7 linked regions of the Macaca fascicularis genome follow. The protein of the gene in region 1 interacts with the protein of each later gene in a biochemical or structural test. Links are inferred from orthologs where the notes say so. Each region holds a gene or a part of one and is shown in the gene's direction. Other genes may lie near its edges.

Region 1 (3,500 bases):
AGTTGCGGGGGAGATTAAAGATCTCTGCTTTGTGGTGATGGAGTAGTTCTGCCTTGTAATTGCAGTGGGGTTTACACAAATCTACACATGAAAAAATGGCATAGAACTATACCTTCACATTGTACCCATGTCAGTTTCCTAGTTTTGATAGTGTACTACAGGAGGTAAAATATAACCACTGGGGGAAACTGGTAAAGGGCATCCCAGACTTCTTTGTTCTATTTGTGCAACTCCATGCTAATCTATAATTACTTCAAAATAAAAAGTTAATGACATAAAGTATCTGTTGAGAATTTCCTTCTTTTACCACAATTACAGTATACAGATTTCTCACTCTGTTTCTTCAGTAATCCAATTAGAGTTCTGGCATAAGCTTTGTCGTTGAACTTTTATTTTTATTTTAGTTTATTTTAGTTTATTTTATTTGAGACTGAGTCTCACGCTGTAGCCCAGGCTAGAGTGCAATGGCTTGATCTCAGCTCACTGCAACCTCTGCCTGCCGGGTTCAAATAATTCTCCCACCTCAGCCTCCTGAGTAGCTGGGATTACAGGCACCTGCCATAATGCCTGGCTAATTTTTGTATTTTTGTAGAGACAGGGTTTCACCATCTTGGCCAGGCTGGTCTTGAACTTCTGACCTCAGGTGATCTGCCCACCTCAGCCTCCCGAAGTGCTGGGATTACAGGCGTGAGCCAGCATGCTGGGCCTGGACTTTAAATATATAATATTTTAAGTGCTCTCTCCCCGTTGTTACCCCTTCCTAAGCCAATTCACACCTTCACACCATGGGTCTGAGGATTAAGTGGACGCTAAATGTGCTACAGACAAAATTCCTAAAAGATGCAAAGTTTGGTCATCTTCGATTCTAAAATATTCTCAATTGATTAACACTGAGCAGCAGGATTAAGCATGTGGCTAGATATATTTCAATCTGTTTCCTGCCAGCACCAGCAAGGATGTGAGTATATTATTAAAATCCTCTGTGAATTAAGAAGTTAGGCAAATTAGTATCAGCTCACAGTTTGGAAGTCTCGATATGATACTACTAATCAGCAAATCAGCTGAATAACAAGAAAATCAGATAACCTTAATTTAGGTGATTTGGTGGTTGCACAGCTGTGTTCCCGGTATGTAGACCAGTACTTGGGCACCCAGTAAATATGCGTGGATGAATTAATGAGTGAATGAATGGATAGCGGGACCATTAAGGCATCCCATGGGAAACTGACAAAGTCTAAAAATAGGAGTAAAGAATTAATTCACCTTTGTGGCCCAGGTCTTGACGAAGCAGGACCTGCCAGGAAACTTTCTAACCCTTTTCTCTGTGTTCCTCTAGGCAGCTTGAAATCCACTCTCCAGATGCTAAGCACACAGTGATCCTAAGGAGCAAGGACTCAGCCACTGCCCAGGCATGGTTCAGTGCCATCCATTCCAACGTTAATGACCTGCTGACCCGAGTGATTGCTGAGGTCAGAGAGCAGCTGGGGAAAACAGGCATTGCTGGGAGCCGAGAGATTAGGCATCTTGGCTGGCTTGCAGAAAAGGTAAGAAAAATACCTTCCTCTATAATAGTCATCCTTCCCGAGATTCCCCCAGCGCTCATAACCACTAAAGTTATCTCATTCCATAGGCTGATTCTCTCATTCACAGTCTGTGTGGATTTCTTATCCCTCTCCAGCAGGCTACAGGCCTTTACATTATACAGGGGTTTTGTCTTAATTGAATTTGATTACCTGCATTTAGTTAAACATGTGGCAGATTGCACGGGGTCCAGGTTGTTGGATGATGGATGAACGAGTGAGTTGAGGATTAGTTTGATTTTAACTTCTATGTATGAAGGGAAGGGAAAATAACTCAACCTCAGAACAGAGCTGTTGCTTTGGGAGGCAAGGAAGTCCAAATTATTGCTTCAAAAGGGTTTGTGTGGGTTTTGATGAGCCTGTTTGTTAATAACACAGACACTTTTGAGATGATTCAATTATACATTTACAAGTAACAGCAAGGATTACTTGAGCAATTACTATAAGCTGGCTCTTTTCTTATGTTACCTTATATTTTATTTGTGCTGTTAAGCCAGCCGCTCTTTAATGCCATCATTAAAGAGCACCTACTTTTGTGAGGCACAGTGCGAGGCAGGAGTCGGGGAGGGAGTGAACACATAAAAAGACTTAGCCTCTGTCTCAGAGAGGACAGCTGCTATGGAAAAGACTTTGGGTCATATTAACACGGTCCCTGATTTCTTTTCCCAAGTTATGGGATATGTTAAAGATAGTAAAACTCACTTTGTGGCCATCTCTTGGGAGTTACTCTTTCTCTCTATTTCAAAGGATTGAGTCTTTGCCATTGTCCTTACATATGATTGCTGTCCCTTGAAGTTGACCTTGAGTGCTCAGGAACGCTGGACTTTGGGGATGATCTGACCTCCCAGTGACTCACTTTCTAATAGACAGTAAATGGGAATAGTGAATGTCACAATAACACGTTTCCTGCCAAAGAACTCTGTCATCTGAGAAGGCTCGGTCATATGGCACCTGGAATAATACCTGAACACACCAGTTGGCTGTTTTCCGTCATTGTGCTTTGTTTGCAGCAGATCATGCCTGGGTCTTAGCCTAACAATTTAACACCAAATGGGTTGTTTGACTTGGTATTGTCCTATCTCTCAGAGATTTCAAAGAACCAAAGGGACAATGCAGGTGATAGGAGCATCCAAATTCATAATAAACACAAACCACCCGTAGCCTTTCATGAGTTTATGTGTTAGGGTTCCTGAAGAAAACAAGACCATAAATCTGGATGGCTGATACGATTTTGAAAGTCACATCTCTATCACTCTCCACTTTCTACTCTCTTCAAATGCATGTGTTTTTATTAGAAAAGGGCCTGATAGTCAAGGATCTTTCCATTACAAGTGGCAGAAAACTCAACTCAATTTAGCCTGAGCAAAATGGGCATGCCTGGGTTCTGATAACTGCAATGTCCAAAGATAAGCTTCAGGCATGGTGGGATCCAGGGACTTAAATAATGTATTAAGTCTAAGTCTCCATCTCTTTCTTTCCCTGTCCTTTCATTAGTTTATTACCAGGCTTCCTCTTTAGTTGGCCTGACGGTTCCAGGCTTATGTTTTCTTTGCTCCTGGTTGTCTCAGTGAAGAATGGCTTCTTTGCCCCAATTGTTCCAACACAAGTCCTGAGATTATAAGTCTAATTGGGTTGACTTGGATAATTTGTTCAGTCTTAGTGCTGAAATCAGCCTCACCTAAGTCATTTGCAGTGAGGATGAGGAGGGGTGGTTCTCTAATGGAAAAAATCAGGTGCTGTGCAAGAAAAACAATCAATGGATACCAGGGAAGCAAAAGCAACCAACATTTACTGTAGAACAAGAGAAGGAGCTGATTGTGATGAAAAATGCTCTCACTTGGTTAAGGTTCTGGGGGGACTTGGAGATACAGCACTTATTTTAGGATCCTGGCAGCAGATGGATGGGAAGTTCGAAAGGGA
Region 2 (4,088 bases), on another chromosome or scaffold:
TATTCTAAATGGAATCGTTTCCTTAGTTTCCTTTTTTGGTTGTTTATTGTTAGTATATATAAATGCAACTGATTTTTGTGTATTGATTTCCTATCCTGCAACTTTGCTGAATTTGCTTATTAGTTCTATTGGGGTTTTGTGTGTGTGTGTGTGTGTGTGTGTGTGTGTGTGTGTGTGTGTGTATGGAATCTTCAGGTTTTCCTACGTATAAAATTTTATCATTTGCAGACAGATATAATTTTACTTATTTATTTCCAATTTGGATCCCTTTTATGTATTTTTCTTGCTTAATGTTACTGCAGCTTTCTATCCAGGAAATGAGGATTTGAACAGTGATGGGGAGGTCAGCAATGGTTGGAGTTGGGACATATTTTATGGGCAGAACAAATGGAACTTGTTGGCTCAGAAGTGGGTGGTGGAAGAAAGAGAGAAGTTAAAAGTGACTTCTAGGTTTATGGATGGGCTAAATTATTGTGGTGCCACTGTTTAGACAGGGTAGATGGGGGGATGCAGGACTAAGAGGGGAAGAGAAAAGGTCCATCTGGGTCACATTAAATTTGGCCATGATTGTGCATCAGATAGATAAAAGCAAGAGAAGGAGGGAAGAAGTCAGAACACAGACCTCTGGGGAAAGCTCACATGTAGAAAAGGGATGGAAGAAGAGGCATCAGAAAGAGAGGCAAAGAAGAGCAATCTGAGGGGGAGAAAAAGAACCAGGAAAGTCAGAGAAACAAGGAAGAAGTTTCAGGAAAGTGGTAGTGGTCAACTATGCAAACAAGACGGGAAGGAAGGTGAGGACTGAGAAAGGATTTTTTATGTGAGCAACAAGGTTATTGGTAACCTCTGACAGAACATTTTCAGCAGAGTGGATAAGGTCTCTGCTGGAGTGCAAGTGAATTGAAAATATAAGTGAGTGAGGGAAGTGCTTTAAACAAATCTAAAGTGCTGTGTGTGTAAGGCAGTGTTGCTATTTCTGTTGCCATGGAAACAGAAACCTTTCAGGAGAACTAAAAGCCACTTAAAATCCCTGACTCTAACCCATTATATCCGCTTGTTCTCTTGAGAAAGATAATGACAAAAACCAGTCATTAGAGGGGCAGGGCAATTTTAGGTTTCTTCTTTTTAGATGTAGCCCTTAACTGGAAATCTTCCCCCTTCTTGAGAAGAGATCTTGCACTGACATCTATACTGGCTTCTAAAAAGCACAGATGACCTGCTACACTTCCTGACTTTCTTGCTATTGGTTGGCACTGTTCATAAATATAATTTGCTGTTTCCCTTTTCTTTTAAATGAGCAATCCGAATTACTTGGAGGAGAAAGGCAGAAGAGATAGAGGCAGCAGAAGCCAGGGCAGCTGAAAGACAGAGAACTTCAGGTGGGCATTTTAATCTTTGTTTTGTTAATTCAGTGTTGAGAATCATGACTTGAAGATCACGTAATAGAGGAGTAATTTTTGAAAAGTAAATTTGTTTTGTTCTACTATAAATATTATTTTCCTATCATGTACATGGTAGTTTAAAAAATACTGTGAAAGTACAAAAATGTTAAAGGAAGCCAAATTCTCCACCAAGATAGCCTCTATTGATATTTTGGGGGTTTTCCGTGTGTGTGTGTGTGTGTATGTGTGTGTGTGTGTGCGTGTTTGTGAATGTGTATATGCACATATAACTTTAGTTTTCATAGTTGCGTCCCTGCACTATGGACACGTTTATATTCATTTCCTGCATTTCAGTCTATGGTTTTTCCATGTTGCTGTGAATTCTTTGTAATCATAAATTAAAGCTGCTGCATAATATTGCATTGAGGAACTTTACTTCCTCCATTTTTAGCTGTATAGCAGTTATCCTATTTTTCATAGTTTGGGTCCTTTTATTATATAAGATATATTTTTTTCATTCAGGGTCTTGTTTTAGAGGTAGAAGAAGTTGAATCTGAGCACATATGTTTCAATGGTTTTGCTTAGAGGCACAATGAGAGTGAAAGAGTATGTGAGATCATGAGCATATAATCTGTTCCTTACCCCACTGGGACCCTAACCAGTGTTTCTCAACTCTGGCTGCACATCAAGTCAGAATCACCTGACTCTGAGGAGATTAGAAAATTACCCCTAGAATAATTGAAGCTTAACTTTTAGAGATCAGCAAGTCATCTGCAGTATTTTGTCTTGTTTTCCAGAAACTTCTCAGGTGATTCTAATAGGTGGTCGGCATAAAAACAGATGACCTACGTCATTCAAAATATTTTTCTGTCTCTGACATATACCTGAGAGTAATATGTATTAGGAGAAAGGGAGGTATAATTTCAGGCAATCCAATCAAATCTCCCTTTCAACACTACATACATAATGCAAATTACAGAATAATTTGGGGGGAAACATAAGACTTCTAGAAATTTCTATCTACCTCAGCCACATAAACTCTTGAGATGAGAATCTACTTGTGTTTCGATTTACTAATGTTTTAAAGAGGTGGATTTGTTTCCAGTGCTTCGATGGTTAAAAGTTAGAGAAGTTGAGGCTGTCGTATGTTCTGAATGTACCTGAATCACGCCCATATCTGCTAGAATCTGCCAAGGCAGCCAGGCTTCCTTTCTTTTGCAATCTTCAAGATTAAACACAAGGTGGGCATTTAATAGCTGGCCAGTCACTAACACACTGTGGGCACAGTGAAGATCGATGGCATTGGATTTGGAGGCAGAAGGTGGCTCACTCTGGCTTTCAGGAGCCCCATAGACATGGCACTTACCTTCTCTGGACCTCATGTCCTCAGGAGGAAAGTGGACAGAGTTTATGCCAGGGCTGCGTTCTGGTTTCTCCCATTGGGGACTGAAAACAGAGCCAGAGCCCCTAAACCACATTGAAGCATTTGCTGTTGCACTCCTAGCCTGCTGCAGGCCAGGAATCATCCCAACGAGACCAACAGCATGTTAATCAAATTTCTTCTTGTTTTGACTCAGTGGAGAACACCTGTTTAGTACCTTCATTAATGAATGTAAACATTCACATAGTACTTTACAAAACACGTTTACATGCATCAGTTCATTTGATCCACATACTAGCCTTAAGAACTGGAGTAATTCTTATTTTAAAGATGGTAAAGATGAGACCGAGAGAACATAGGATCTTTTCCAGGTGGAACCAGAACTGGTCCAATCTGGTTTAGCCCAGGGCACATGGTCCATTCTTACAACTTAAATAATAGCTATTGTGGGAAATTGGTTAAACATATTTCATAATGTTTATATAATTGGTTATTCTGTAGCCAGTTAGATGATGACATTGATGTTGTTATTTGGCAAAGAAAGGTGATCATGGCATGGAAATAAGAAAAAAGCAAGATATAAAACAGTATTATAAATGCGCTTATTTTTGTTTAAAAATATTTTCATATATTTCAAGAAAGATGAAAAAAAGCATATATGTGAAATTTTAGATATGTCTGGTTGGTGGTAAAGTTCATAATTTAAGTTTATTTCAGCTTGTATTACATTGTAATTTTTCTTTACCATGAACATGTACTACTTGTGTAATAAAAATAAAGGAAAGTAAATAGAATTGTTCATGTCTTTCTGGTTGGCTCTTCTCCGGATGAAATGGCCCCATCTTTTACTTGGCCGTAAAGAAGGCTGCTATTTAATTCTCTGAGTTTTGTACGTTATTGTCACAAATTTTATTGTGATTGTCAGCTAGTACTGACTGAATTCTTTGTGTGTGTTGGGCACCAAGTTAATCACTTCACATCCATTTTTTTTTTCATCAGTACTCACTCCAGTGCTCCTTTGGCAGAGGAGAGTTTGAAGCTCAGAGGGCTGCAGTAATAAAAGAGACTAAAAGGCAGAGTTGAAACTTAAACCCAGGACCCTTTTAACTCAAAAGCACATGGTTTCATTCATTATATCACTCTGCCTCCCATCCACCTGGGATCACATGAGCAGCCTCCGTTTTGGAGGAAAGATGATATATTTTTTCAGTGTACTACTCATTGCTGTGTACATGAATACATGATGGTTACTTTGGGCATCATTAAGATTTCCTGTGTACTCCAGAATCAAGGATCCTTTCTGCTTTTCTATAGTTTGCTCTATGCAC
Region 3 (4,214 bases), on another chromosome or scaffold:
TTTACATTTAAGCCCTCACAAACACTTGGGAAGATTTGGAGTTAAAAGCAAATTGTGGTGGGGGTTCAGCACAGGTTTTGTGGTTTTGTTTTGTTTTGCTTTTTAAATAAACACAGTCCACACAAACCCGTCTGCCTTCACCTGGAAGGACCAGTTCTTTAACAAAAAAACGCTTTGACTTCGGTTTCCCTGGGAAACCAAAGCCTGAGCTCCTGAACTTTTCTCTCCGCGGATTCGGGGGAGCTAGGGAGGGTGCTCATCCACTTTATTGCAGGGAGAAGTACAGCCTGGGACCCCTCTTTTGGGATACTGTCATTTGCCCCTTCTACCATCCCTTACTCTATTCTCAGAACCAGTATGAGAGTTTTCTGGGGCTAAGGCAAGGGGCAGTGGGCTCAGGCGCTGGAAGGACTGGTTTGCAAAGAGATAAGCTTTGGAATGAAACCGCACAGCTGAAAACTCGCGGCAAGAGATGATCGCGCTGTGGCGAGTCAGTTTGAGAAGCCTTCATCCCTACTCCTCTTAGCTTTCTGAGCGGCATTTGCAGTCAGGTGCAAACAGATCGCCTATTTGGCGCAAAGAGCCCTAAGGATGAGGGACGTGGGATCATTCCCCGGTTTCCCCCCGGCCAGATACTAGGTAGTTTGAGGAGAAACTGTTTTCCAGTTCTCAAGGCCTGCAAACGCGGCTGTAGATGGCATGCGGAGCTGTCCAGCACTAGTGAGGTGTCGGCGGAGCCGGGAGCCCCGCGCACCCCGCTGGGCTGAGACTCAGCAACAGGGCTCTCTTGCCAGAGCAGACGCTGTTCTCACTGCCGCCCCGTTCTGGGCTCGCTCCGCGCCCACACGGCCTCGCACGAGGCGGGGAACGCAAGTCCCCAGGAGCTGCTCCAGCAGGATGGGCGCCAACATGTTGCCCCTGTCCTTCCCTTCCCCTGTAAGCGTCTCTTCTGGAATAGGTTGGCTGGACGCTTAGCATTTTCGTTTTGCTTCGGAACTTCCTAAATAAACTCGGAGAAAGGACATGGACCCTAACCCCCACTTCACACTGTCAGGCTTCCCCAAGGTGGCTCCAGGGGGAGGCCTCTCGCCCCCCAGTCCCGAGTCCTTCTCCCCACCAGCGCCTCCGGGGCCCATCTGCTCCCAAGGGCCGAGAATAAGGCGTTTGGGGTTGGGGCCCCTCAGTCCGATCCGAGCTCTTGTGCGCACCTTCTCGGGGCAGGGAGGGCGCGCAGAGGACAGCAACGAAGTGTCCTCGTTGCTCCTGAAACGTGGCGACAGGCGAGGCAGAGACTCCCAATGAGTATGAGGGCGACACGTGATACCCGCGGAGGGAGAGCATGGGCGGGGGGATAAAGGGAGAAGGAGGGAGGCGGGCAGCAAGTGGAGAGAGGCGGGAGGAGAGGGGCGGGAGCAGAGAGGAAAAGGGGGCGAGATAGGCGCGCAGGCGGCAGAAGCCTCTGCTTCCCCTTCTGCTTGGGCCGTAGCCCTCCCCGCCCCGCCGACCGCGGTCACACACTCGGAGCCTCCCCGTGAGCGGGAGCGCGGCGCACGGCGATGCGCCGAGGCTGGCGCTGAGGCGGCGCCGCGCGAGCAGCAGCAGAGGCGGCGGCGGCCCCCAGCCCAGCCCGGCGCCGCCGCCGAGCCCGGGCCCCAAGGTGTGGCGGCGCCCCAAGTTCCCGCCATGAGCAGCCGGCTCGGGGGGCTCCGCGGCCCCGGGGACTCCCGCCCCGCCGAGCGCGACCGCAGCGCCCCGCGGCCCCGACGCGCTTAACGCTGCGGCTCGCCGGTCCCACCACCGCCGCCTCCGCCGCCGCTCGCGTCCTCGCCGCCACCGCCTCGGCCGCTGCAGCGCCGCCGGCAGCATGTCTCGAAGGAAGATTTCGTCCGAGTCCTTCAGCTCCCTGGGCTCCGACTACCTGGAGACCAGCCCGGAGGAGGAGGGGGAGTGCCCCCTGTCTAGGCTCTGCTGGAATGGCAGCCGGAGCCCGCCCGGGCCGCCGGAGCCCAGCGCGGCCGCCGCTGCCGCTGCCGCCGCCGCCGCCGCCGCCCCAGCCCCGGCTGCTTCTGCCGCCGCCGCCGCCGCCACGGCCGGGGCCAGGAGGGTGCAGCGCCGGAGGCGGGTCAACCTGGACTCGCTGGGCGAGAGCATCAGCCGCCTGACGGCGCCCTCGGTGAGCGGGGGGCGGAAGGGGGGACCGCCTTCAGGGGAGAGGACGCGGATCGGTAAAGTTGGCGCTGGGCGAGCCGGGGCGCGAGCTCAGAGCCCGACCGCTGGGGGGCGGCCCGGCCTCACCCTGCCCGGCCTAGGGTTCCAGTGGCTCCGGGCGACAGAGGATGCCCTAGGCTAGGGCGGAAGAGGGGACTAGAGCACCGGGAAGGAGTAAGATTCCACTCCTTTGGGGTCTCCTGATGCGGGGGCCAGTCTGCCCACCTCTAGCCTTGAACCCTACTTCACCACTGTTCCCCCTGGACGGCCCCAGTGCTGCTTCACACCCACCTGTTTTCTTTCCCCTAAACTTTCCCAGGCACTGTGTTCTGCAGTTCGGCTTCCCTATCTTTCATCCTGTTCTCTAGCATCCCAAAGGAGCCCCAACCCCTTCCAGGAAACCCTTCCTCTCCTTATTTCCCACACTCTCTTGGTCTTTGCGTGACCTTCTCTGACATCGTTGAATTCCACAGGCTATCTGCAGTCTATGTTGCATCCTTTTTCTCAGATCTTCAGATACTTTTTGCCAGATACTTTTCTGAGTTGCCTTCTGTTGAAGAAATCTCTAATCTCGAGTTTTCCTCACCCCATAGCTTTTTTTTTTTTTTTTCCCCCCTTATCCACTAGGCATTTATTCTTCTCCGGGTAAACCTGGTGTCTGGTTTTCTTTTTAAAAAAATTTAATTTAATTTAATTTTAAGTCCCGGGATACATTTGCAGGATGTGCAGATTTGTTACATAGGTGCCAAACGTGTGCCATGGTGGTTTGCCACACCTACCAACTCATCATCTAGGTATTTAAGCTCCGCATGCATTAGCTATTTAAACCTCTCTGTACTTCTTGCACCTGTACCTCATCCTTTACTCTCTTTTCAATGGATTCTCTAGTGCTTTCTCTCTTACATTAGCTATTTAAACCGCTCTGTACTTCTTGCACCTGTACCTCATTCTTTACTCTCGTCAATGGATTCTCTCGTGCTTTCTCTCTCATTTTTTGATGGCTTCTTTATATTAGGCCCTTCCTAAATATTTGTGAAATGAACAAATGCCTCTCCAAACTTGTGCTCATCTTGGGATGTCTGTATCAGCAGTTTCAGGTGTTCACCAAACTCCCCCTGGTTGTAGGCATCCTTCCAGAGTACTCCTGTCTCATTCCTGCCCAGGCATTTCAACTACCCTTGGCTTTTACCTCTTGCAGGAATGCCAGACCTCTGGTACAGTCTTACCCTGTCTGGGAGAGTTCTGTTTTGAAGGAATCCACTCTATTGCGACAGAATTTGAAAAAGATTCAGCGTCAAACCTCCATCCATCTTTTATCCTCACCCTGACCTTGCATACAAGAGCTTTAACTACTCCTGACAGCACTTTTACCTACCCACCCCTAGGATTTTTACTTTTTTTAAAGTTTCCAAAATGAATCTGAACATTGGTCTTGTTTGATTACTGTTGAGTCTCTCTCTTTTGAGATTACTACTGCACATGATGGTAAGAGGGACCTAAGAAGGAGTGGGACTCTGAGGGGACTGAGTACTGGTACTAGGCAGTTCTACAAATATTGTTGTGGCACTTCCATTAATGGAGAATGATTTTTTTCTTTTACAAGACCTGATTGAAGATGTATAAGTCACTTATTATTTATTTTGAACTAATTTAATTCTTAAGAACACGTATTGAGAAACAGTCATCTTCCTATTCTTGTGTATTTTCCTATTTGATATATCTTTCTGTCACTTTCTTTCATCGATAACCTAGAAAACAATCCTCAGAATAGATTGGCTGTTGTTTGCTGTTCTTCCCTGCCAGTATTTCCCAGGCAGCGTAATTTTATGAACTATTTGATGTTGCAAATTGTTGAAAATATTTCTGTACAACGGGAGTCCAGTGACGCCGAGCATCTGTAGGCTTATGTTAGTACTTAAAGCAACATTTGTGCAATAAAATAGTTATTTAGCACAACAGATTCTTATTTAATTAAATGAGTTTGCTAAAGATAATGATTAGTTTGG
Region 4 (3,500 bases), on another chromosome or scaffold:
AGCTGGGGAGGGAGCATCCAGGAAGGGACGAACTGTCTTGGCCTGGGATGTGAGAGTCTTTAATGTTCCTCATGCATCAGGACTGGACTGGTCTAAACACATATGAGCAGTCGGGCTAAGGCCTGGGATGGACAGGCCCTCTGCAGGCTCCTGCCATGGCCAGCCCCTGAGGCAGGTCTGAGGCCCTGTGCTCCCCCTTTGCTGGGCTGCCTCAGGGTCGAGGGGACCTCCTCAGGTACCCTCACATTCCCCTCCTGCCCCTACAGATTCCCCAGGCATCCCCCCTAGCGCTGGGGCCCATCAGCTGTTCCGGGGCTTCAGCTTCGTGGCCACTGGCCTGATGGAGGACGACGGCAAGCCTCGCGCCCCGCAGGCACCCCTGCACTCGGTGGTACAGGTGAGGGGGGCAGGGGGCTGCTGCTCCGTTGTCCTTTTCTAAAGAATGGCTGTGAATACAGGCTCTGAGTTGGACAGAACCGGGTTCATACCCTCGTGCCACTGTGGGACCCGTAGGGTCTCCAACATAAAACAGGGACAGTAAGGCCCGCCTCACACTGTGGCCCTGATAATTGGATGATGATATGGCTATACATTTCCCAGCACAGAGCAGGGTCTGGGTACATGCCAGGGGGTGCCCAGGGTGGTGGTGCAGAGTGACTGTCGTGTCTCTGGCATAAGGGTAGCAAATAACTTGTATCTCTTCACACTTGTTCCCCATTTGTACACTTCCACTGCCTCATGAAAGTTTCAGGTTGAGAGGCAAGAATGTAGACTGTGCAGCTCATTGCATGGGTTCCAGATTCACAAGATAATGGACGTTGGGGTTTTTTTTGTTTGTTTTTGAGACGTAGTCTTGCTCTGTTGCCCAGGCTGGAGTGCAGTGGCAATCTCAGCTCACTGCAGCCTCCACCTCCCAGGTTCAAGCAGTTCTCCTGCCTCAGCCTCCCGAATAGCTGGGACTACAGATGTACACCACCACACCCAGCTAATTTTGTTGTTGTTGTATTTTTAGTAGAGACGGGATTTTACCATGTTGGCTAGGTGTCAAACTCCTGACCTCAAGTGATCCACCCACCTCAGCCTCCCAAAGTGCTGAGATTACAGACATGAGCACCCGACCAGATAATGGACTTTAGATGAGATACTTCCCTTCCTGGTGCCTCAGTTTCCTTATCTGTAAATGGGGAAATGATAGAATCTTCCTCCATAGAGCTATTATGAGGATTATTAGAGTTAATACATGTAAAGTTAAAGTGGGCTGGGCACGGTGGCTCATGCCTGTAATCCCAGCACTTTGGGAGGTCGAGGAGGGTGGATTGCTTGAGGCAGGAATTTAAACAGACCCGTCTGGCCGACATGGTGAAACCCCATCTCTAAAACTACAAAAATCTGATGGGCGTGTTGGCATGTGCCTATAGTCCCAGCTACTTGGGAGGCTGAGACACGAGAATTGCTTGAACCCGGGAGGCAGAGGTTGCAGTGAGCCGAGAATGCACCACTGCACTCCAGCCTAGCAACAGCGCAAGACTCTATCTCAAAAAATAAATACATAAAAAATAAAGTTAAGGTGACTATGTAATTTATTTTCCAAACTGGGACATCTTTATCCAGGACAAATATTAAATCAGACTGGATGCAAGGACCGCAGGCGCAAGCCAGGGCTGGCCGCGGGGCATGTAGTCACCTGATGAAAGTGCTTAGAATACTGCCTGGCACGCAGCACACACTAAGCACCATTCAGCATTGCTATGGCTAATGTCCCAGAACCTTGAGACACCCCCTGAGTTGAGCTGTGACACCCCAGAAAGGGGAGGCAAGTCACTCAAAGCCATACTTAGTGGCACAGCTGGAACTCAGCTCAGGGCTCCTGCGTCCCTCCCAGGCCTGCCCAGGCTTTTCAGAACTAAAGTCCTCTCCATGTGTGTTGTGACCCTCTTGCCCACTCCCTGCGCTGCCCTCTGACCACAGGCTGCAGTCCAGGCAGGCTGGGAGCCAGCGAGTATGCCCAACATATAGAGTAGAAAACTGAGGCCCAGAGAGGGGCAGGCTCTCACCTGCAGTCACATGGCCAACACTCTACGCCAAGTCTCCTGGCCCTTCCCCGGTGCTGTCTCTACTGAGCCAAGACCTTGAATGCTGGGAGATGACCCTTAGCACTCTGGAGCCAGGGGTCAGCCACAATTTTTGGTCTCCTACAGCAACTCCATGGGAAGAACCTGGTTTTTAGCGACGGCTACGTGGTAAAGGAGACGATTGGTGTGGGCTCCTACTCTGTGTGCAAGCGCTGTGTCCACAAGGCCACCAACATGGAGTATGCTGTCAAGGTGGGCCTCCTGACCACGTCTCAGCCAAGGCTGCCGGGCCGGGGGCAGGTCCCCGTCTGGTGGGGAGGGGTGGTGCCTGAGCTCTGCAGATGTATGAAAGATTGTGTGGCCGAGACCTCCAGGCCTGCTCCATGGCAAGGAAGGACCCTGGAGCCTGTCACCCTGACACTGCCACATGCACCCACTTTCTTCAGGTCATTGATAAGAGCAAGCGGGATCCTTCAGAAGAGATTGAGATTCTTCTGCGGTATGGCCAGCACCCCAACATCATTACTCTGAAAGATGTGAGTGGGGTGGGGACCAGGAACTCGACTCTCTAGGATTTGTCTCAGGGTTGCCATTCCTTTGACTTCTCATCCTCTTTCCGGTGGTCATGTGGAGGGGAAAGAGGTCCCTTGGTCCCTCCAGTCTGCCCATCCCCCAAGGGCCCTCCTTCAGACTCAGGCATTTTCTGAGGACGTTCTTGCCTATCAGGGGACCAGTGTCAGCATCCTCCTTTTGGGGAAGGCGGGGCCACTGAAGAGCAAGCAGAATACCTGCCTAAGGCTCATGTCATTCTTCTCTGCTCTGGGGCGCTGCTGACCAGGGGGCCCAGGCCTGACACTGGGGAGAAGAGCCTGATGGTGAGGTCTTCGGCAGGTGTACGATGATGGCAAACACGTGTACCTGGTGACAGAGCTGATGCGGGGTGGCGAGCTGCTGGACAAGATCCTGCGGCAGAAGTTCTTCTCGGAGCGGGAGGCCAGCTTCGTCCTGCACACCATCGGCAAAACTGTGGAGTATCTGCACTCACAGGGGGTGAGTCTGGATTCAGGGAGGCGGTAGGGGGATGCCAAGGGTCATACCATCAGCAGAGCACATGAACCACATGCTGGCCCAGGAATGGCAACCTCCAGCTAGCCAAATTGAGGGAAGACTAGGCTGGGTCGGGGGATGCGTGTAAAGGAGGGAGGGAGAGATGTGGTCAATCGTGAAAGGGAAGGTATGGAAAGTTATTCAGTATCTACTGTGTGCCAGTCACCATGGTAAGGTTTAGCATAAGATGAAGTTTCCAGGCCAGGCGCAGTGGCTCATGCTTGTAATCCCAGCACCTTGGGAGGCCAACGCAGGTGGATCACTTGAGGTCAGGAGTTTGACACCAGCCTGGCCAACATGGTGAAACCCGGTCTCTACTAA
Region 5 (4,235 bases), on another chromosome or scaffold:
TTTTTATTTTAAATATTCTATCCTGCCTCATTTCGGGAATACTTCGAGGCCGCTGATGTGTTTACTGCTCAAATATCAACACAGCAGTAATCAGGCCTTTGAAACTACGGGTGAAAAATCCAGTCCATTTCAGTCTTTTTAATTTATGAAAAGAGATTGTGTGGCATTTTGCTTCCCGTCCCTTTTCATAAGACCTTTAAATATGGACACCCCTCCTGCTGGTGTCTTTATATTGGGAAGCTCTGCGTGAGGTTGAAGTTTTTATGAGGAAACTTGTTTAAAACACAATCGTATTTAAAGGCGGGTTTGCCACAGCAAGGTTAGGGGTTGCCAATAAATCGGTTTATAGCAACTTCTCTATTCTCTGCTCCAGACACACCAATGGGTTGACCCGTGCACAATTCCCGCTGGCCACACAAGGCAGGGGCAGTTCTAGTTGATCCTTCCCTGGTCAACTAGATCAACGAAGGCTGTCTTAGAGAGCTTCGGGTAATAAGTGGGCAGAGTACCCTAGGCCAATTTGGCTGCCTGGGATTCCTGGGAGGATCTTGGAGAACCCAGGACACCCGAATCCCTAGGCCCTATCCTGGTTTTTGCTCTGCTGGAGAATAACAAAACATTTTGGGAACTCAGGAGTTTAATTTACTGCCACCAACCGACAAAATAATAGCATCTTTGTGTGTTCTCTCCCCTCCGTCCCTCCCACCTCCTTCCGACAGAAGCACGACGCTGTCCCTCTGTGAAAGTAGCACAGACAGCACGGGTCAGCCCGGAGCGGTCGCAGGAGGTCCAGACCCGCGGGCCCACGGACGCCCGAGAAATCACCGGTCCCAGAACATCCCCCAGTCGCTTTTGGGAAAGAAGAAGACGCAGCCTGCGAGATGCCTTCTTAGACCTTCCAGTTCATTTAGCTCATTCTGGCCCCAGAAAGTGTGTTTGTGTTTGTGTGTAGTTAAGTGAGGCAGAGAAAATCCAAGAAAGCCGCACAAGCCACCCTAAAGCGTCCACGGAAACTCCAGCTTGGTTAATTGTTCCCATATGTCCTCCTCGGCTGTGGTAAAAAAACAGCGAGGAGGGAAGGCCGGAGTCGCTTTGTTGATTTTGAAGAGGCTGTAAAAAAGACTATGGCCCATCTCATTTTGGTCCCGGGGAGGCCCAGGCGCACCCCGGGGGACCCGGTGTCCCAAGGGACGGTAGGGTGCCTCTGGCCTGGACCTGGCGCCGAGAGGCGGGACAAGGCCACCCCGCGCCCAAACCCCACGGAAAGTTCGCGCTCCGCGCTCCAGCCGGTTCCTGGATCTGCCGCAGCCCGGGGCGGGGAGGGGGGCGGGAGGCGCGGCCCGGGCGGGCGCGCGAGAGGAAGGTGCCTTCGGGAACACGCGCAAGGGCGGGGATTCGCGCTGCCAATGAGGCCCCGGTGTGGGCCGAACAAGGCGGGGGACGGGCCGGAGCGGACGCTTAGCTGTGGCAGCTGCTGGAGCGGCGGCCGCCTCGGGAGCTGGAGGAGAGGCAGCAGCGGAGCGCCGAGCTGGCCGCGCCCCGAGGCCCGGCCCTGGGTGTGGGGAACCGCGCCGAGGAGCTGGAAACTTTCCCGGCAGGTAACTCCCGCCGCCCCGGCTCCGCCGTGGGCCTCCGAGCGCCCCGGGCATGGCCAGCTGCCAGTGTGCGGAAAGGTCGAGAGGGACCCGGGGAGGAGAGGGTGATGGGAGAAGGGAAAGGCGTGTGGGAAAGTTTCCGGAGCGCCCCCTTCTCCGCCGGGCACACCCGGGAGCTTTCCGGGAATAGGCACAGACATGTTGGGCGCCCCGGGCCTTGGTCTCGGCGGCTTTGGGGAGTCCGCACCTTCCTTGCGCGGTTCCGCCGCGCCGGACCGAGCCGGCCTGCGGTGGAACCGGGGTGATGGGAACCGGGAATGCTCGGGGCACGCTTGAGTTTTGGGACCACCCCCGCCCGGCGCGCCTGCTCGCCCCCTTTCCCGCCTTCGCTGTAGCCCTCGGGCTTGGCAAGGGCCTGGGCTACGCCTGGTACCTGGCGCGGGAGAGACGAGGGGAGGCGCGCCTGGCACAGCGGGGTCCTAGGCGCCCCCCGGAGAGTTGGGGTGCGCGGGTCGCGAAGTTGCCGAGAGAACTTAAGCCGGGGGCATCGTATTGCCATAGTCTGGGCTGAAAATCTATTGCTTTGCTTCCAAGAACACTGCGATTAGCATATCCACACTCCTTTACTGGGGGTAGGGGTGAGTTAGGATTAGACTTTGGGGGTTTTTCTTTACGGGTGGGACGCTGAGAAAAGCAGTAATTGTCAAGATTGTGAGCCCCCTTGTTCTTGGATGCAGAGCGGTCCTTTTGGGAGGACGATATCAGGGCACTGGCTTCCTGAAGGACTTTGGGGTGCGGGCGCGCAGTGTTGTGGGTGTGCGGGGCTCCCGGCTTCGGCGCGGCGGCTTTCCGGAACGCCTGGCTGGGAAGGAAGCTCTAGACATTGGGTGGTGTGTTTGCAGACAGAAAGGTCTCTAGACCGGTGTTCTCAAAACTTACTGGACTTACTGTGCTCCGGGAGGAAATGTGGCGTTGGCCAGGTAGAAACGCGACGCTGCGGCCAAGGGGCGGAGGACGCCAGGCTCGGCGACGGCCTTCTCCCAGGCCCCTCCTGCCAGCTCCTGGCAGATCCAGATCCCTGTGCCTCCAATGTTGGGACCGTTCGCAGTGGCGTTGTTCCCAGCTGGAGTTAACTTGGGAGATGAGGGAACCTTCATCTTGAACTTGACCTCAGAAGCAGCGTCGTCTGTACAGGTTACAAGGTAAATGGAAGCTGAGCCTTAACGTGCGTTGGATCGCAAACTGGCTGGCGCGGAAAGGAAGTTCCTGGTTCAGAATCTGAGGAAAGGGCTCAGAATTGCTGAGATCGCTCGCCCTGGAAATGCCAGACACACCAGACTGCAGAAGTTAATGCGTGTTTGGAGGGGTGGGGGTGGGAGAGGAAAGGAGAAACCTGGTTAGTTGGCACAGAGGGCTAGTATTTCTCTGTAGTGGAAATGAAGGGAGTCTGCGTCTCTGCTTTCACCAGATCCGCTACCTTCTTTTTTCCTTCCTTGGTCATCTTTATTCCTGCCAGGCTGGCACTCCTGAGGCAGGGGAGGGAAAGGAGAAGAAAGCAGTTGTGAAGCTTCCTGGGTCAGCCTGGAGGTATTTCAGATCTGCTGCTAGGAAGATTCCAGGATTTTAACAGCTGCTTCTTGATTGCTGGGAATGAAAGAATTTATGAGCGGCTGAGAGGGGTTCATTATGGAAGTAGTCTGAATGTTTTACTCATCTAAGCTACTTAAAGACCTCACAAGGGACCTTCCCTAGAGTATGCCAGTTTCTGCAGTTTGTGTCAGTCAGAATGCTTGGTTTAAGTGTTAGTCAAAAAGCATCACAAATATATCCTGGTGGTTCTGAAATGAAAAGTATGTGGCAGTAAAGGAACTATGGTATCTGATATCCTTCAGGACTTCCTCCTAGGGTTGTTCCTGTTACCTGCCAAGTGAACTTGGTCCAGGCTTCCGGACTGTTGTGATTTGACAATAACAGATGGGAAATAGTGTCATTGATTTTAGTGGAAGCAGGAAAAGCCCACAAATAAATTTAAGGTGAGTTTTTATGACCCTATCTTGCACTTGTGGTGCCCCAAACTTAACTTTTTGGCACCAAGCCTGTTGGTTCGAAGTGTTGCTGGAACTTGGAAGCAATGGTTTTCCTGCTTTCTTGGTTTAACCACCAGAATGCCCAAATTATTATAATTTATATTCATCCTTGATCTAAGACATAACTGATTCATAGTCAGCCTTTTTCTGCTTCCCATAACAGCCTGTAGAAAAAAAGAAATTTTGTCTCTTTAACCACATACAATTTATTTGGTGCCATAGTAGGTTTTTGACACTGGATGATTGAGGGCATAATTTTAGAGACAATGGAGTTGTCTGGATTAAATCGTCCATTTTTAGGCGACATCCTCTTCTGAGTTGCTGATTAATTCTTTATCTCTCTGGGAACACTAAAACCAGCATCCCTGGGCCAGTGGAACTATAATCCATATTATAATGACTCCTGCCAGCATAGCTGGAGGTTAACTTTATGTCGATGTTTCCATTAGACATTTCTAACCTAATTGTAAAGATTTTGTCTCAGTTGGGTTGAGAGTCTCATAGAAAAAGAAATGGCTTTATTTTTATCTTTATGATAAATAGTTTAACTGGT
Region 6 (3,500 bases), on another chromosome or scaffold:
CAGGTGGGGGGTTCTGGGGCGGTGGGGATGGCTCCTGCCCAGGTGGGGGGTTCTGGGGGTTGGGGATGGCTCCTGCCCAGGTGGGGGGTTCTGGGGTTGGGGATGGCTCCTGCCCAGGTGGGGGATTCTGGGGGGGTGGGGATGGCTCCTGCCCAGGTTGGGGGTTCTGGGGGTTGGGGATGGCTCCTGCCCAGGTGGGGGGTTCTGGGGTTGGGGATGGCTCCTGCCCAGATGGGGGGTTCTGGGGGGGTGGGGATGGCTCCTGCGCAGGTGGGGGGTTCTGGGGGTTGGGGATGGCTCCTGCCCAGGTGGGGGCAGTGAGGGCCCTGATCTCTGGCCCCCCGAGCTGTGCTCCTGACCTCAGTGCAGACCTGGACCAGCTGAAGGAGATCATGAAAGTGACAGGGACGCCTCCAGCTGAGTTTGTGCAGCGGCTGCAGAGTGATGAGGTCAGTGGTGAGTGGGGAGCTGGGTGGGGGTGGGGGCGGACCCGGGCCTCGGTGTTGGCCCCTCACCCTTTCTTTCCACATAGGCCAAGAACTACATGAAGGGCCTCCCTGAGTTGGAGAAGAAGGATTTTGCCTCCATCCTGACCAATGCAAGCCCTCTGGGTAGGGCTGGCTAGTGTGGGGGCCACCAGGTGCTGGAGTGTGGGGCCTCCCGCAGTCTGGCCTGACGCACCTTCCCCCGCAGCTGTGAACCTCCTGGAGAAGATGCTGGTGCTGGATGCGGAGCAGCGGGTGACGGCAGCCGAGGCACTGGCCCATCCCTACTTCGAGTCCCTGCACGACACGGAAGATGAGCCCCAGGTCCAGAAGTATGACGACTCCTTTGATGACGTGGACCGCACGCTGGATGAATGGAAGCGTGAGCTGGGGGCTCCGGGCAGGGCCTGTGTGGACCCGAGTTGGGGGCTCTGGGCAGGGCCTGTGTGGACCTGTGAGTGGGGGGGCTCTGGGCAGGGCCTGTGTGGACCCATGGGTGGCAGGCTTCGGGCAGGGCCTGTGTGGACCCTGTGGGCCCTGTGCAGGTGGCCAGGCTCAGAGTCCTAAATCCCCGTCCCTGGGATGCAGGTCAGGTGAGGAGAATGGGAGGTCAGAGGGCAGCATGGGGCCGCGTGGCCTGGTGGAAATGACCTCTGGCTGGAGCTGAAAGATGAAAGGAGGGTGTTCCTGGCAGGCTCAGCACAGAGGCTGGCACAGAAGGAGCCGGGAACGGTGAAGGGCAGCTGTGAGTCCGGGCAGCAGGGCCCACTGAGCCCCTCCTGGCCCCAGACCTGCTGCCCTTCCGCCATGTCCAGGCCAGAGACCCGGGCCACCGTGCCACCCTCACCATGTCCATTTGTCCCTAAGGCCTCTCTCCTCACATCTCGTGAATCTGTCCTTGCCTCTCCTTGCTCCAGGTGTTTTTTTTTTTTTTTTTTTGAGACAGTCTCGCTCTGTTGCTCAGGCTGGAGTGTGGTGGCATGATCTTGGCTCATTGCAAGCTCCGCCTCCCGGGTTCACGCCATTCTCCTGCCTTAGCCTCCCGAGTAGCTGGGACTACAGGTGCCCGCCACCACGCTCGGCTAACTTTTTGTAATTTTAGTAGAAATAGGGTTTCACCGTGTTAGCCAGGATGGTCTTGATCTCCTGACCCCATGATCCGCCCACCTCGGCCTCTCAAAGTGCTGGGATTATAGGCGTGAGCCACCGCGCCCGGCCCTCTCTTTGGTCCATTTTAGGATCCTTCCCATCTGGACAAGACATGTATGTCTTATATACCCAAGATAGTCCCCAGGGCCTCACCTGTCTCCCCCAGCCCCCCTGAGCAGTCCAGACCCCAACCCTAACTACTAGGGTCCATCATCCCCTATACCAGGGGCTATCCCCTCATCTTGGAGGGCTGGCCAAGGCCTGTGCAGCCTCAGGCTGAACTCAGGGAAGCCTCCCCAGCTCCCACAGCTATGCTGTGGCCTGAGGCTATGCTGGACCTGGCTTCATTTTTGCTCCAGAATGGCAGGCTGTGTCTTCTTCATGGCTGCATGACCAACCTGTGGTGGGGGTGCCCGGGGACAGCAGGTGGACACTGGGAGCAGTGCCGTGTTTCAGGCCCTGTCCTGGCTCTGCCTTGGGCGCAGGGCCTTGGTCCTCCACACTGGCTGGGTGGGGCTGGATGGACTGAGATTCTTCACCTGTGCTCCTTAGGGCCACGGGTCCCTGGGTGCCTGCAGCAGGGCCTCCACCCTTCGCTGTGTGTGCTTAGTTGTGTGCTTATGAGTTTGGCTTTGATTAAAGGTTTCTCCTGCTAAAAAGATAACTTGAAAACCATGGGCCATAGGATCCTCTCTGTAGTCCCCACCCACACAACTGTAGCTGGGGCCTCAGCTCTTAGGACAGACCGTGGTGGACACGTGGCCAAGCCCTGGCCACCTCCCCTTTCCCTGGAAAATCCGGATCTAGAGCAATGGCCTCTTCACACAAACCTTCTCTCAGTAGTTTGGACCACATTAGGATTAGAGAAGGGCCCCACGAGGCACCGCCAGGCGTGTCTGTGAGTGACACCCCAGGATGGAAGGCAAAGGCTGACCCTGGTTTCTGTTGTGCCCCCCGCCCCCGCCAGGTGTTACTTACAAAGAGGTGCTCAGCTTCAAGCCTCCCCGGCAGCTGGGAGCCAGGGTCTCCAAGGAGACGGCTCTGTGAAGATCTCTGAGCTCCAGGGTGGTAGTGAGGACCACCTTCACCTTCCACCTGAGAGGGGACCCTCGTTGCCACCTTGACCTTGGCTGGGGCTTGCATCCCAAGGCATCCGTCGGAGCAGACCCCTGGGTTCCATGGACCCTCCTCCCCATGCCCCTGCCTCTGCTCTCGGGTGCCCATCCTGGAGGAGCACCTGAACTTTCTGGACAGGACCTCTGGCCGACCTGGGGATGGCCTCTGATGCCTGGAGCCGGGGCCCCCTTGCCCGGTGCCCTCAGAAACCTCGGAGCTGGTGGGGCTCCAGGTCAGGCCCTGGCCTCTGAGCCCTGCCTGCTCTGGGCCATGCGGAGGAAGAACAGAGGGTGGGCGCAGGGCACCAACTCAGGGACATCCCTTCTCCTGGGCGACGTCACTGGACCTTCCTGCACCCCTGCCTGGAATGTAAATCAGCTGTGTGGCGCCCACGTGGCTGGAATGAAATAGACCCTTTTGTAGCTCCCTGCTCTGGCTGTGCGTCCTCATGCTGCGACCTGTCTTAAGGCCTCCAAGCCCTTGGCCTGCATGTAGAGGAGGCTGGCCTGATAGCTCAGACCCTCAGAGCCAGCTGGGGGGCCTGAGCATCCCATCTCTCCCAGGCCACAAAGCTGGTGCCCACTTCCCCAGACCTGTGCCAGTGAGCTTCGAACCCCCACATTAGGGCTTGACCCCCTCCCCTTTTACAGGGTGACCTTCTGCTAATGGCTTAGAGTCTAAGCCACTGTGTGTGGATCCTGAAGCCAGACCCAGGGGCAGGGCCTGATGGGGAGAAATGTTAGGATCTAC
Region 7 (3,488 bases), on another chromosome or scaffold:
GGATTGAATAAGGAAATAATGATGGAACTGGGTCGAATTTCTTCTAGAAATCTTGGTCGTGATGACAGAGTTATTGGTGATCATGGAAAAGAAGCAAGGTAATTCTAATCATTTGAGTGTTGTTACGGTATTTTTATAAAAATAGCAGAGTTTAAATGGAGACTTTTAAGTTTGTTTTCTCTTTGGAGACTGTTCAGATGAATAACAGCAGCAATAATAGCTTGGCTTTATATTATAAACACAGTCAGAAACAGAGCTGGGAAGAGCCAGGAGAGCAGTTATTTTCTAGAACTCATTCTCTAAGAAATGTATTTTCAGTAATTTTCAAAGGTAACATAATGACAGGATTGTTTTTAAGACTATAGTGAAAAAGACTGTTGAAGTAGGCCAGGCATGGTGGCTCACACCTGTCATCCCAGCACTTTGGGAGGCCAAGGCGGGCGGATCACCTGAGGACAGGAGTTCAAGACCAGCCTGGTAAACATGATGAAACCCCACCTCTACTAAAAATACAAAAAAAATGAGCTGATCGTGGTGCCACATGCCTGTAGTTCAGCTACTCGGAAGGCTGAGAATGGCTTGAACCCGGGAGGTGGAGGTTGCAGTGAGCCCAGATCACGCCACTGCTCTCCAGCCTGGGAGACAGTGTGAGACTCCGTTTCCACATAAAAGACTGTCAAAGTAAAACTGAGATAGTGAAATACTAAGATAAGGTATGTAGAGGGTTTTGTTCAGCTTTTAATGTTTGCTTTCCTCCCAGGAAGGGCATAAGCCCCACCTGCAAGCCTTCTTCTCCGATGTTATAGAAACTGGCTTTGTCTCTGTAGACATTTCTGTATGTACAGATCCATGCTGATTTGAAGGTAGTCCTCACACTGGATATTCCTCTGCCACATGTTTTTGGACACAATTTAGTCACATATTGCAGATTACCTAAAACCTTCAGAGAAACCAAGGCACTTTCATGTATCTATTCTTGCTTTTCAGGTTTATTTTTACCTATATCATATTTCTGAAGGTAGTGAACAAGTACAGTATTTGAATAAAACTTTCTAAGACATTAAGTAAGGATAAAGGAAGATGTGACATTTAGTTATAAAGAGCAAAAATCCATTCAAGTAGGCTAATTGATTCAAGTAGGTAGTTTATTACAAGGGTACAAGCATCCAAGAATAGGAAGTCCAAGTAAGCTCCCTGAGAATTAAACATACTACAGTTTCTCTCTCTCTTTCTCTCTCTCAGACTTCATTGTTTCTTGTCTCTACTTCAGTCTTTTCCTCTTTCCACTGACTTGTAGCTGCCTTTACACAGTTGTCCTTCTTAAGTTTCTGGTCCTAGCCCATGTAAAAGTTTGGCTACTATGTCATTATTCTATCATAATTTTCCAGATTTCACTGTAAAGTGATAACTAATACCATAATAAAGTCCATAAACTGTTAAACTGTTTTCTCTTTGAAGGACGTGAGAGAGAAGGAGGTAGAAATTCGGTATGTTATTTCAGCTAGGTCATAGAGAAGGGAATTTGTCTAGTAAAAGCACCTACTTATGAAAGTGTTATATTATGCTCAAATAAAAATGCATATGAAGAATGTTTAAAGCAGCTAATACAGAATTGTGATATAACAAATATAGTGGCTAGATCTAAATAATTTGTTATGTATCTTGACATACATATTAGTAGTGTGTTGATTTGATTCTCTAATTAAATTTGCTTTTGCAACTCATTCATTTTTATTTAATATTCCACATAACAAATGTCTTTGCCCTTTCCAATCTCTTAACCTAGACTAAGATGTAATAAAACGGAAACACTAGTGTAACTGTATTGCATTTGGAGATGTGGGATGGTGGGTGTTAAAGTATTTTAAACAGAAAAAGAACAGAATTTTGTAGAAATTGGGGAAGCAAAAGGGCAGAAAGTTATTTTTTTAATCTAATATTTTGTTTCTAGGTCATCCCAGAATTTAGGGGGAAAAAATCTAATATTTTGTTCTGTTACAGTAATTTATCACCATTTAATTGGTTTAAGTATAATTAAACAATTTTGATTAACAAAATTTTACCGTGTTTTGCAGTTTCAGGCTGTGGAGCCCTTCTACATTGGTTCCATATCCCTAAAGTGTCATTTCTTTCGTTGTGATAAAGATCAGACACAGATTGAATAGTTAGTTAAGATCATGCTTGTAGGCCAGGTGTAGTGGCTCACACCTGTATTCCTAGCACTTTGGGAGGCCGAAGCAGGTGGGTCACTTGAGTTCAGGAGTCCGAGACCAGCCTGGGCAACGTGGCGAAATCTCATCTCTACCAAAAATACAAAGATTAGCTGGGTGTGGTAGTGCTCGCCTAGGTGGAAAAAAAAAAAAATCATGTTTGTTTTCAAGGCCTCCACAAAGATACCTTGTAAGACAATTTGAAACTATTTCTGGACACAGTGAGCCTAATTTATTTATTGAGACTTAGACTGTTTTGTAGTATATGTCATGTGTTATGAAACACTTAGTTTGATTACATTTTAGCTATAAAACTGTATAAATCAAAGCAGGTTGATTTTATTTTTACATAGTGGTTATATTATTTATCTGTTTATTTTAGATTTCCTTTCCTGGATGAAAATGTTGTCTCCTTTCTAAATTCTCTACCAATTTGGGAAAAAGCAAACTTGACTTTACCCCGAGGGATTGGTGAAAAACTACTTTTACGCCTTGCAGCTGTGGAACTTGGTCTTACAGCCTCTGCTCTTCTGCCCAAACGGGCCATGCAATTTGGATCAAGAATTGCAAAAATGGAAAAAAATAATGAAAAGGCATCTGATAAATGTGGACGGCTCCAAATCATTTCCTTAGAAAATCTTTCTATTGAAAAGGAGACTAAATTGTAATGTGATTCACAGTGTAACAATATAAAAATACGTTTTTATATAATTACTTATATAAAAGTAAGATACTCTGCTGCTTTATTATTGTATAATAATAGTAGTTTTAAAGTTCATTTGGTTGAATTTTCATTTTTTCCTGTTACAGAACTCCTAAAACCATGGAATTTCCTTAGTGATAGGGAGTATCTTTTGTTATTCGTAATAAGCCCCTTTTGATCACACCTGAGTTTATGCTAATGCGGTGACTTAGAGTGAGGTCTCTAAATAGCCTTTAATACTTGCAGCTTGGGAGGCCAAAGCAGAGGGATCTCTTAAGTCCAGGAGTTTGAGACCAGCCTGGGCAACATGATGAAACCCCATGTCTACTAAAAAAAAAAAAAAAGTACAGAAAATGAACTGGGCATGGAAGCATGTGCCTCCCTACTCGGGAGGCAGAGGTGGGAGGATCACTTGAACCCAGGAAGTGGAGGCTGCAGTGAGGCTAGGATCACACCGCTGCACTCCAGCCTGGGTGACAGTGAAACCCTGTCTCTAAAAAAATAAATAAATAAATAATAAAAATCAAGAGATTAGAAAAGTTGGAATTTCATCCCTACCCACCCACCTGTGGGAG

Evidence for each region.
Region 2: the proteins of SNTB1 (region 1) and CYSLTR2 interact in a test that uses a peptide from one of them, tested with the Homo sapiens proteins (2 studies listed by IntAct, with this or other methods). The link is inferred for Macaca fascicularis from reciprocal best matches to the Homo sapiens genes SNTB1 and CYSLTR2.
Region 3: the proteins of SNTB1 (region 1) and GUCY1A2 interact in a test that uses a peptide from one of them, tested with the Homo sapiens proteins (2 studies listed by IntAct, with this or other methods). The link is inferred for Macaca fascicularis from reciprocal best matches to the Homo sapiens genes SNTB1 and GUCY1A2.
Region 4: the proteins of SNTB1 (region 1) and RPS6KA1 interact in a test that uses a peptide from one of them, tested with the Homo sapiens proteins (2 studies listed by BioGRID and IntAct, with this or other methods). The link is inferred for Macaca fascicularis from reciprocal best matches to the Homo sapiens genes SNTB1 and RPS6KA1.
Region 5: the proteins of SNTB1 (region 1) and TANC1 interact in a test that uses a peptide from one of them, tested with the Homo sapiens proteins (2 studies listed by IntAct, with this or other methods). The link is inferred for Macaca fascicularis from reciprocal best matches to the Homo sapiens genes SNTB1 and TANC1.
Region 6: the proteins of SNTB1 (region 1) and MAPK12 interact in a test that uses a peptide from one of them, tested with the Homo sapiens proteins (2 studies listed by IntAct, with this or other methods). The link is inferred for Macaca fascicularis from reciprocal best matches to the Homo sapiens genes SNTB1 and MAPK12.
Region 7: the proteins of SNTB1 (region 1) and ASNSD1 interact in a test that uses a peptide from one of them, tested with the Homo sapiens proteins (2 studies listed by IntAct, with this or other methods). The link is inferred for Macaca fascicularis from reciprocal best matches to the Homo sapiens genes SNTB1 and ASNSD1.

Annotation. Positions count from the first base shown.
Region 1 is NC_088382.1:130,260,690-130,264,189, reverse strand, and holds part of SNTB1 (beta-1-syntrophin), read left to right. Parts: intron 1-1,336; coding exon 1,337-1,544; intron 1,545-3,500. UniProt on the Homo sapiens protein: Adapter protein that binds to and probably organizes the subcellular localization of a variety of membrane proteins. May link various receptors to the actin cytoskeleton and the dystrophin glycoprotein complex.
Region 2 is NC_088391.1:27,793,095-27,797,182, forward strand, and holds the start of CYSLTR2 (cysteinyl leukotriene receptor 2), read left to right. Parts: upstream 1-1,288; 5' UTR 1,289-1,376; intron 1,377-4,088. UniProt on the Homo sapiens protein: Receptor for cysteinyl leukotrienes. The response is mediated via a G-protein that activates a phosphatidylinositol-calcium second messenger system.
Region 3 is NC_088388.1:106,022,092-106,026,305, reverse strand, and holds the start of GUCY1A2 (guanylate cyclase soluble subunit alpha-2), read left to right. Parts: upstream 1-1,414; 5' UTR 1,415-1,864; coding exon 1,865-2,173; intron 2,174-4,214. UniProt on the Homo sapiens protein: Has guanylyl cyclase on binding to the beta-1 subunit. Isoform 2 acts as a negative regulator of guanylyl cyclase activity as it forms non-functional heterodimers with the beta subunits.
Region 4 is NC_088375.1:208,553,760-208,557,259, reverse strand, and holds part of RPS6KA1 (ribosomal protein S6 kinase alpha-1), read left to right. Parts: intron 1-266; coding exon 267-397; intron 398-2,198; coding exon 2,199-2,324; intron 2,325-2,518; coding exon 2,519-2,608; intron 2,609-2,963; coding exon 2,964-3,122; intron 3,123-3,500. UniProt on the Homo sapiens protein: Serine/threonine-protein kinase that acts downstream of ERK (MAPK1/ERK2 and MAPK3/ERK1) signaling and mediates mitogenic and stress-induced activation of the transcription factors CREB1, ETV1/ER81 and NR4A1/NUR77, regulates translation through RPS6 and EIF4B phosphorylation, and mediates cellular proliferation, survival, and differentiation by modulating mTOR signaling and repressing pro-apoptotic function of BAD and DAPK1.
Region 5 is NC_088386.1:54,399,250-54,403,484, forward strand, and holds the start of TANC1 (protein TANC1), read left to right. Parts: upstream 1-1,435; 5' UTR 1,436-1,598; exon of another isoform or gene 1,599-2,797; intron 2,798-4,235. UniProt on the Homo sapiens protein: May be a scaffold component in the postsynaptic density.
Region 6 is NC_088384.1:1,302,722-1,306,221, forward strand, and holds the end of MAPK12 (mitogen-activated protein kinase 12), read left to right. Parts: intron 1-369; coding exon 370-449; intron 450-532; coding exon 533-611; intron 612-693; coding exon 694-867; intron 868-2,601; coding exon 2,602-2,681; 3' UTR 2,682-3,179; downstream 3,180-3,500. UniProt on the Homo sapiens protein: Serine/threonine kinase which acts as an essential component of the MAP kinase signal transduction pathway.
Region 7 is NC_088386.1:85,315,971-85,319,458, forward strand, and holds the end of ASNSD1 (asparagine synthetase domain-containing protein 1), read left to right. Parts: coding exon 1-98; intron 99-2,592; coding exon 2,593-2,878; 3' UTR 2,879-2,988; downstream 2,989-3,488.